Linked DNA regions of Coturnix japonica. The protein of the gene in region 1 purifies or fractionates together with the protein of each later gene. This does not show direct contact. Links are inferred from orthologs where the notes say so. Each region holds a gene or a part of one and is shown in the gene's direction. Other genes may lie near its edges. The genes, in order: MET, GAB1 and PLXNB1.

Region 1 (3,656 bases):
AAGGAGTCAAGTTGGAGCGGATCCCTGCTATAGGAGGGACTCTAGAAAGCTTGACCAAGCAGGTTAACTTTGATACTCATAAAATGCAGTGGGTCACAAAAAGACTTTATTTGCTCTATAAATGCTTACCATCTGCCTACAGCAATCTCAAGTACTACCTGGCCATTTACAAAGAACAAATTATAGGGTGAAGTCATTAGTTGGCTGGATCGCCTTGTATTTTAGCTCTCTTTTCACTCTAGATCCAAATTAGCCTGTGATGCATAGAATTTTCACCACATTCTCTTCAGTACATATTTACACAAAGTCAGTCAGATCATCAGATCGTGTAAATTGGCAGCACTCCATTAACCTCAAAGGATGTCTGCCAGTTTTTACCAGCTAAGTAGCAAGCCTATAGGCTTTTATTTTCTTTCATTTATTTACTTGAGTTTCTCTGGCTCTAACTTAAGTGGCTCCTCAAGTCCCTACAGCATTTATTAGCCCACTTAAAATAAAGCTGAATGCAGTAAAATAACTTTTCAAAGGGAAAACTAATGCATTTGAATGCTTACATCAGTCAAACCATGTTCTAAAACTGGAACGTAAAGCTCTCCAACCCTATCACTTGTTATTTATTTCTTTGTTTTCTTAGTGGTCCTTCGGTGTGTTGTTATGGGAACTTATGACAAGAGGGGCACCACCTTATCCCGACGTAAATTCTTTTGATATAACTGTTTACTTGTTACAAGGAAGAAGGCTGCTACAACCTGAATACTGCCCTGACCCACTGTGAGTAAATAGTTTGCAAAACCTTCTGCAACTGCTGATATTGCAGTAACTTCTTGAGACTGTGGGGTAGAAGAGGTGGGGGGGAGGAGAGGGAGGTTTGTGTTTTGTTTTTTTTTTTTTTTTTGATAATTTCATAATTGAACACTTCTTTAATTTGGATGGCAGGTATGAAGTCATGCTGAAATGTTGGCATCCAAAACCTGAGATGCGTCCAGCATTTTCTGAACTTGTTTCAAAAATATCAACAATCTTCTCCACTTTTGTTGGGGAACACTACGTTCACGTTAACGCTACTTATGTCAACGTCAAGTGTGTTGCTCCCTATCCTTCTCTACTATCATCACAAGACAATACAGACATGGATGTAGACACATGACAAGTATGTCTGAAACAGAGGAAAATCCATTCTTAGTGGTATGAACAAAAACTGAAACATTTTGTCCACTAGTTTTTACTGCCTGGTCTTTGTGAGAACACTGTTGCACATGTTTATGTTGTTGCCCAAGTTGCACTAGTAGAAGGACACGATATCATCTTTTTTCAAGGCTGTGGGATTCTGTAAACCATCACAGTAATTTTCCAGGTATTTGGACAACTGCATCAGTTCACCAAATGGAGACATTGTGTTCTACCAACCAGATCTACTTCTTGCTCGTTCTCATTCATGTGTGCTGAGACCCAAGAACAAAGATTCATCATTAATGCCATGAAGGAGAACATAGAATACCAATCAGAAAAGCTGGAAGGACTATTATTGTTGCATGTACTTTAGGATAATGAGCAGTACAAAATGGTTCTTACATAAAAGGCAAAGACAAACCATGAAATGTACAAGAGTTTAAAAATGCATTTTCCTGCCTCACAGTCCAAACTCTGGATTTTTGCACTATGTCAATGAGGTTTCTCAGAAGACAGGCAGCCAGTAGCGCCAGCTTCATGGTAAAAGTCAACAGCAGAAGTCAACATCACAGTAAAATAAGTGCATAGTAAAATAAGTATGTCAGCCTTGCCAGGCCTCTGGCATAGTCAGACGGTACATAAAGTGAACAGAAAAGCATCTAGCTTAAAGCATTCCTAGTGTTAACTCTATTCCAACATTTGAATATTTCTTTGAGTAACAGCCTAAATCTACAGATATCTCACTGAAACAAATGCGTAGCCCCAACACTTTCAGTCAAGAAGCAACTGCTCTCACAGACAGAAAACCTGGAGGCGCCCATATTAGATGACAGGTTAATCCCTGGGAGTTAGTAACATGGGCTGCATTATTCTGGAGAGGAAGAGGAGACAGGCAGACTGGCAACTACATAGAGCTGCTGTCTGATGAGTCACACAGTGAGCAGCTGAAGGTGTGCCACCCATCCTTGGGTGGAGCTGCTGCCAAAGGTGAGTAAAAAGCGGAGGTGTTGCAGCCAGCCCTGACCTAAGAGAATGTCATAGCATAAATGTTAATCACTTTGTCACAGCAGCCCTAAGGAGCTCAGAAGACTGATGAAAAGAAGAAACAACACCTTTATGGTCCCTTATCTTTTCTTGAATCACACAACCCAGTGAATTATGATATCTATTTTTATTTCTCAATTATGCCCAGAAAAAGAAATGGGAAGAGAGAATGAATAAAGTTTCATTCAGTAGAGCGAAGTACTATAGCTTTAGGGCAAGCATCACATGTCATTTCTGTTCCTGTGGAATTCTGTGCATACTACTGTATAGCTTGTGTAGAATAGAATAGAACTGGGTTTGTTGGTGTAAACACATAAAGTATTCTATTTTTATATATTATAAAACAAAAAAAAACAACAAAAGTTTATTTTTAATGACATTTACAAAGTTTGGTTAGTCCACAAAATACTGCACTGTGAACATTTCAGAAAATGTATGTCAGCAAACATGATTCATAAATAGTAGCAACCTTAAAAAGAATACTGTGTAAATACTAGAAAGGAAAAGAACTGACTGCAAACACACTCCACCCTACCTTAAGTGTAATATCTCCATTGCTGCAAGCCAACCATTTTAAGATCTTCAAAGAGAGGCAGTGTGGGTAAGGAACTGATATAAGAGAGGTTATGTTGTTCTTGGGAGACGGCGTTATAAATGAAAGATTTATAATGAGGGCAGAGTGTGTAGGCAAACTATGAGCAGATAATATTGTACTGTGTTTCATCACCACTTTCATTTCAGAAACAAACTTTCATGTCTGCTGAGAGCAATACTAATTGTAGATTGCTCAAGGACAAAAGGCTTTGCTGCAGGCAGAAAAATCATCTCTATGGTTGTTAAAACAGCTAAGGAAATTTAGATTTGGAGAAGATACTCCAAACTTGTACATACCTGCTTGAGGAACGCTGCAATGTGAAACAGATGACATTTTTACTATTTATGAACTTTTGCTTAATAAAGTTAATGTTGTGTCTGGGACACCTGTAGGAATATGTGATTCTGGTAAAAATTGATGTTAGTAAGTTCATATATCGGCAGAAGAGCTGAACGGTACTTATGTTTATAGTTGTTGTTATGATCTAATAAACATGTTACTAAAATGAACTATTGTAATACTTTCTGCCCTGAGTGCTGTTATTACTGTTAACCTTAGAATATTAAGCTGGTAAAAGTCTGCATGTTTTTCCTGACTGAGGCTGGCAGAGCAACCAATGGAACTGCGTGCAAGAGAGCAAAAGAGAGGAAAACTCAGAGACATAAATGCATGGAGAGTGCTCCAATAAATCAAGCTCATAGTCCATCGCTGTGGTACTGTCTGCTTCAAAGAAAAGTGTGAATGCTCTGTAGCAAACAATTTTGGCACAGCCTGGTTGGTTGGAAAGACTATTCTTCATTCACAGACCACACCTAAAACAGCTCTGAGCCACAGGAAATCTGAAGCA
Region 2 (3,152 bases), on another chromosome or scaffold:
AGATTGATTTGATGACAATCTTAATTATGGGGGGTGGTTTTTGGTTTCCTTCCGTCCATTCCCTTTGGCTTTTGATTTTGTCCCAGGCTTAACGTTGTTCTGTTTCTGTTTAATTTAACTGTATCTATATAACATCAACAAAACTTGCATGGTTTAACTGGGTGTAAAAACTCAGTTCTTTAACCTTCAATGTTTTGACAGGTTATAATAAGCATATTTGATAATTTGGATTGTTAGCATGTACGTTTGCAGCTGAAGTTCTCTATGTTACAATTTCAGAATCTGTTTGGTAGCAACAGTCTTGATGGAGGAAGCAGCCCCATGGTAAAACCTAAAGGAGATAAGCAAGTAGAATATTTAGATCTGGACCTAGATTCGGGAAAATCTACCCCACCTCGTAAGGTAAGCAAGTCCTGACTTTTCAAATGACTGGCATTAACAGCTTGGAATTTCTTTACAAGTAGCTGCTGGGAAAGAGCCTCCAGCAAGATCGCCCCATTTAGTTTATCCAAAGGTCAATCAGAGGGGCTCTTTCAGACTCTTCAGATAAACCTGTGCTTGTTTTGAATCTGTTCGGTATATGTACTTAATTTTCTAGTAAAGAAATTATTAGTTTAACTTGCTTGTTCATTCTGTCTTGTCTTTATCCAGAAAAAGAGCAGCGGTTCAGGCAGCAGTGTGGCAGATGAAAGAGTTGATTATGTTGTAGTTGACCAGCAGAAAACACTTGCACTGAAGAGCACAAGAGAGGCATGGACTGATGGGCGGCAGTCTACAGAATCAGAAACACCCACAAAAAGTGTGAAGTGAAAACTCTGCTTATTCTTCAAGGAACAGAAAGGAATGAATTTCGAAGATCTGACAAACCATCGTGGCACTGTTGCTTGACTGTATGGTATTCACCAGTGTGTGAACAGGTTTTTGACTGAATAGGATGGAAGCCAAAGGACACTTCATAAGCATCAATGGAGTTTAAGATCATAAATTGGCTATGTGGTCTCTGGAAAATTTGCAACCTGTAAATAACGTGTAAAATAGTACCACTTTGCTTTCAGAAAACCTTTCGTTCTGTAGTTAACACATTTGTAGTGTATTACTATGTTTATGCACTTTTTCAGTTACAATGTTGGTTCAGGTATTCCCAGTTAGTGTACCTTGATGCCTAATTCATTTGGAGAGTTTTTTTTCCTTACACTACTATTCCTTACAATTCTAGGTTAACTAAGCTACATGTAGATATGGAAATTAATATTTGAACTTCATTTTAACAACTTAAAATTGATTTTTTGCAGAAATACTTTCACAATTGAATAATTTACTTGAAATGTCAAGAGGTAACCGTTAGTTACGTACTTGTTTATATTTAATACATGCAAAAGATTATTTGGAAATCTACAGGTTACCTTCCTAACAAAAATTGCTGTGATTTAATAATAATGAACTATACTGGGTTTAGACCTGCAATACTGGCTAATATGTTAGTTGTTAGTGGTGGAACTTCTATTGTATTTTATTAATGACAGTGTTCTGTGTTTGATAGGTGAAGATTCTGCAGGGTGGGATCTCACACTTTTTAAGACTGAGTAATTAAATATCACGTAAGCCTGCAAACCACTGATGGCATGCAGTAATATTGTGATCTCACACTTATTAACAAAAAATAACCTTTATATTATTTACAGAAGGTAGAGTATATAAATCAGGTACGTACCAAGCACTACTGTGCTAATACACTGATCAGGTTTAGACAATGAGCTTTAGTTTTGTACTGTTTAGAAGTTCTAATGTCGGTTTTCAGTTCAAGATGAATGGGACAGTTTGACGTTCACTGTTTATAGTACTAGCAAAATACTGTGATTTTGAATTAGACATTAATTCAAATGGAAATACTATGTTTTGACACCGTAGTGCCCTTCTTACAATCTTTATTTTACTTTTAATCTCCTGCTTGGCCTTATATTTAAATCCCTATGCAAATGATATTTTATATCTCTGTTTTAAAAATTAGATAATGTACTTAAATGATCCCCTTGTAAACCACTCGTTCCTCTTTCCTGGTACAGGATTTTAAGCTCTGTATACTGTGATCCCTTATTTTACTACGACAGTTCCAAATAATAATCTGCCTTGATTTAGAAACAATTTTTTTTATATATGGAAGAAAATAGATACATGAACAGGATAGATCTAGGTAGAAAACTTACTAACCCCTTTTTTTTTTTTTCTCTACGCAACCGCCCTTAAGTAAGCTGTTGGTTTTGTTTTCTCACCCCATTGTTTTGTTTTGTCTGTGTCACTTTAAATTTTGAGTATACAGCTCTTTTGTTTTCTGGCATGTTGGCCTTAGTACTGTGCCTAATCTACCATTTGTTGGTTCTCTCCCCTCACAACCACAATCTACCATATGTAAATTATGTTATTTTTAACGAAGGTTCTTTTAAAATTAGTAATATTTTGATGCTTTTAATGTTCATTAAAAAAAAACACAAAAACAACTAAACAATGGATTTTGAGGTGAATTTTAAATAAATCGAGTTGTTGAGTTTCGATGTGTAAGCTTTGTCCTGTTAAACAGCAAGAGGCATTAATACCTTTGTAAAAGTGCCTAGATGATTGCAACTGCTTTTTTTCTGCAATTGTGCTGTCAAAACAAACAAACAAAGGGTTGGATTAATTTTCAGAACAAATCTCTGTTTTTAAACAAGCAACTAAAATTAACCTGACTCCCAGCCTCCTGGGAGCTGGGAGAAGTGATGTGAGCCAAGGAGACCTTGAGAGGTTAATTGAAGCATTGCAAATCCTAAAGGACTTTGGAGGTAAAACTCAACTTCGCTTTGATTTGAAGGTATTATTATTACATATTATACTGTTCCTCACTGCTGCAGTGGCTGATGCACTCACAGATATGTTGAGTATTTGGAACAGGGACATTTAATGTAAAGGTAACTTTGGTTTAGGATGCTGGTTTTAAACATTTAATTGGTACAATCATAGCAGTGCACTTCCACCAAGTTGCCTCTGAATGTGCTAATGGAAGTAATGAGACAATCACTGCTCTGGTTTATCAGCCATGGTTGTTTTGATGTTTACCATTGTGGGAAAGAATCGTACTGTGTGGTCCAGCACTTACACATACATCCAAGGAGTGACAG
Region 3 (3,656 bases), on another chromosome or scaffold:
TGGTGTGAGCAATGATGAGCTGCTCTCTTCAGAGAACTTGTTCAGCTGAAGGAAGCACGGCAGGTGATGAGGGAAGAATTCCACACAAATCACCTGAATAGCTGAGGAGATTTTGCCATATACGTATACAGCTGTCTAATGGGTCTGAAATGGTCTCCATGGACATAACATGACAGCAGAACCAAGCTAGCTCTGGTCTTTGGTCTCAGACAACTTGATTTTTGGCTTGCATGATGCTTGGAGTAAATCAACCAGGTCTCCTTTTCAGTCAAAGAGAGGGAGGCTTCGTGCCCTATTACAGCAGGCAAAGTGAACAGGATTGGCTTTTCCATTTAGATAGCAAACACTGACCTGTATTTAAACTGTAAAGGTCACTCACAGTCTAGTTTTCACTCTTCTACACTTCAGATTCTTTTAGCAACTCATTTGTAAGCAATCTTGCTTTTATTTCAGTAATGAAGTGTTTTACCTGTATTATTTTCATCTTGCTTTGCTGAAGCAACCTGCTTCTATTTTCTAACCTGAGCTTATCAGACAAGAACCATCCAGGAATCTCATCTGTGTTGTCCTTCTGCTTCTGTAGTAATTCTTCCAGTCAATGAACTGTTGCCAAATGCTCTTAGAAGTGTTTTGCTGTGTTAACTGTGCCAGCCTTCTCTTCATATTTGCTGTTATGTAGGTTTTCTCTCTCCTTCACTGCGTTTGTAGCCCTTCTTTGTGCTATTTTTATGCTCTGCTAAGATTAATTTGAAGTCGGTAATGAGAACTATACAATAATCTAAATGAGATGTCATTAGACGTATTTTCCTATTCCTACTTAAAAAGCTTTTCCCAGCTTGCTAAAATATTTTCCTCTTTTCAGCTTTACTTCAAAGGTTGCATTATAGCTCATCTGTCACTTCAAGCTGATGAGTTCCACATTGGTAGCAAGATCTCTTGCTCTTAATTTGCAAGTGCTCAACCTTGTCCTCTGTGCTGCTGAACAGCACCATTACAGTCACAGGAAGTAATTGGCTTTTTGGAGAAAAGGGTATTTATAACTATGGTGTCATAGTCCTGAAACCCTGTGAGGATTGGCCCTTCCACCACAGCCAGATGCCGTCACCTTCATAACAGCGATAGGAGCTGGCAGCATTGCAGCGACTCCTGCCTTCAGCAGCATGCGATGCCATCTTTGTTCTTAATCCTGGTTTTTCATAGACACCTCATCACCTGTTTTACCAGCATCATTTCTCTCTTGTCATCCTGTCAGGAATCCAGTTCAAGCCTGAGGGACCCTCTGTCAGACTGGATAGTTTCTTTGTTGCCTTCCAGACTATTGCAAATGAGCAGATTTTTGCATGCCAAAGTAAGACTGAACTCTCTTAGAGGAAGGACGAACAGCCTCCTTGTTACTAGTTTTTGTAGCACATTGTTGCGGACAAATGGCGGCTCCTGGAGTTCAGCAGAGCACGCAATATATTCCCATTAGTTAGAGATCTAACGCTCAGTTCTAAGGTTGAGGGCATTTGTTTGAAATGAGGTTAACTGGCATTCTTAGTACTGCCATATGTGAAACGTCTCCCTCAGGTTCATGCTATCAGATAGAGTTAGCTATGACCATTCCTGCAGTTATTTGATCTGTTGTGAAGCAATGGTCATGCCTCTCAGTCTGGACATAAAAACAAAGAACTTGAGGCGATATCTGCGTGTGAAGCACATGTTGGTTCTAAGGGTTGGGTTTTCCCTTGGATCACAAATGACAACAGTCATCTTTGAGCCTGGAATGTCACCTCTTCCTGTAATACAGAGGCGACAGTGGGATTACAGCAAATCTAGATGGAGCAATCTTCAGACATCTTCCTTCCTCTGGGTTGGCAAGAGCTGTCGTAAACTACCCCGATAAACTTGTCCAACTTGTTTTTAGTGTGCATAGGATAATCTAGTGATGGAGATGCTAGCAGCATGGAAGGGAATCTGTCTCCAGTTTTGACAGGTGTCTTCCATAGAGCATGTGCTGTGTCTTCTAACAGTATGGCAGAAATGGCATCATTTCTAAGAGATTTTTATTTTCACTTTCAGATCATGTCACCATAAAGCTTGTAGTGCGTTTCCATGACATCTTCATTGCTTCTGTGGACTTCTCTTTCTATGATTGTGCTGCAGTGGCCCTGCTATGGAAATCAGCACCGTGAGCACCTGCTTTTTCTTGTCTGTAGTTCTAGGGAGGGTGGCTGCCCTGTCCTGGATCAGCATAGGAACTACTTTTCTATCACTGTTCCAGGTGCCAGAAGTGTGTGAGCAGTCCCTGGGGATGCAACTGGTGCGTCCAGCAGCACCTCTGCACCCACAAAGCAGCCTGTGAAGAAGGAACCATTATCTACAATGAAAGGGTGCGTCTCCTACTCAGTCCCTCGGTGGTGAAGCAGCCTGTTGTGAACATAGCTATGGGGGTGATACGGAGTGGTTTTGTCCCCGAGTTTTATTCTGTGTTATTTCTTTTCTCTTACCCTGCCATGTTGTTTTTCTTTAGGCCCAGATCCCAACTTCAAGTGTGTTCCTTTCGTCAGCAGCTCCCCTCACTAAGTCCTCTACCGTAGCCCCAGTGGTGACCATAAAACCCATCACTCCCCCTGTGCATGCAGTATCAAACACTGTGCCCCCCACAGAGCCCAACCACATCACGTTCTCTGCTGCGTCCGATTCAATGACTGAGCCTACAGAAATCATCAGCAACCCGTACTCAACGCTTTCAGCTGAAGCAGCGTCTCTCCAGGCTGTTACAGAACACCCCCTGCCACCACCAGCAGACAAACCTGCTGTCACTCTGCCAGGCACAGCTTCTCCTGCTGCATCTATTCTCACCAGCCCAGGCAAAAACATGGATCGTGCAGCCTTACCAACCATAGGGCCGTCTGCTGCCCATGAGCCGTGGCACACTGAGCCACCTACCACTGTAGCAGCTACTCCTCTGTTCACATCTTCGCCGGCAGTGACACCTTCCCCACATGTCACCAGTTTAAGATTGCCTTTGAGTTCTTTTCCTACCGCAGAGGCCCTGACATCTGCCATCCCATCTCCCCAAACCCCTGGTCAGATGCCAGAGGACCCTTCTGCCTCTAATGACTCTCCTGCCATGCTGGGAACTGAAATACCTGCATCAGAGCCCCCACCGTCAGCTTCCCAAGACTCAGTGCTGGGGGAGGACGCAGAGCTCCAGGACACAGAGGACTGGATGGATTTGCTGCAGGCTGAAAACGACACATCTCCCTTCTCCGCTTCTACTCTTTTATCGGGTGATGGTGATTCTTCAGAGAGGGACGTCCCTGACTTGCCCAGGATCCTCCACCCTGACCTTGACTATCAGTATGATGCCCCTGGATTCTGGGAGGTAAGCTGCTCAACTTCAGAATCTGCAGCTTAAGGCTGTAATTATTTGAAGTTTTCATTTGATTTGCTGGTCTGATGTTTCAGCACATAGAAGAAGCTGTGCTCTCTGAAACAGTAGGTGACCACCGGAATGTGTGGGAGGAGAAGGGGCAATCTGAAGCTCCCGGGTCTTGTAGAAATGCTGCTGATCTGAAAGTGACAGCTGCTGTGATGTCCAGACTATTCACAGCTCTCTGCTGTTCACTACTTTAGGCTTGTGCATCGCTTTCTTGTAACACACGCAGATG

Evidence for each region.
Region 2: the proteins of MET (region 1) and GAB1 purify together in Homo sapiens (affinity purification with western blotting; 3 studies listed by BioGRID and IntAct, with this or other methods). This does not show direct contact. The link is inferred for Coturnix japonica from reciprocal best matches to the Homo sapiens genes MET and GAB1.
Region 3: the proteins of MET (region 1) and PLXNB1 purify together in Homo sapiens (co-immunoprecipitation; 3 studies listed by IntAct). This does not show direct contact. The link is inferred for Coturnix japonica from reciprocal best matches to the Homo sapiens genes MET and PLXNB1.

The regions. Positions count from the first base shown.
Region 1 is NC_029516.1:22,355,035-22,358,690, reverse strand, and holds the end of MET (hepatocyte growth factor receptor), read left to right. Parts: intron 1-634; coding exon 635-771; intron 772-936; coding exon 937-1,147; 3' UTR 1,148-3,329; downstream 3,330-3,656. UniProt on the Homo sapiens protein: Receptor tyrosine kinase that transduces signals from the extracellular matrix into the cytoplasm by binding to hepatocyte growth factor/HGF ligand. Regulates many physiological processes including proliferation, scattering, morphogenesis and survival.
Region 2 is NC_029519.1:26,863,948-26,867,099, forward strand, and holds the end of GAB1 (GRB2-associated-binding protein 1), read left to right. Parts: intron 1-279; coding exon 280-402; intron 403-651; coding exon 652-810; 3' UTR 811-2,556; downstream 2,557-3,152. UniProt on the Homo sapiens protein: Adapter protein that plays a role in intracellular signaling cascades triggered by activated receptor-type kinases. Plays a role in FGFR1 signaling. Probably involved in signaling by the epidermal growth factor receptor (EGFR) and the insulin receptor (INSR).
Region 3 is NC_029527.1:8,846,260-8,849,915, forward strand, and holds part of PLXNB1 (plexin-B1), read left to right. Parts: intron 1-2,061; coding exon 2,062-2,170; intron 2,171-2,263; coding exon 2,264-2,372; intron 2,373-2,512; coding exon 2,513-3,370; intron 3,371-3,656. UniProt on the Homo sapiens protein: Receptor for SEMA4D. Plays a role in GABAergic synapse development. Mediates SEMA4A- and SEMA4D-dependent inhibitory synapse development. Plays a role in RHOA activation and subsequent changes of the actin cytoskeleton.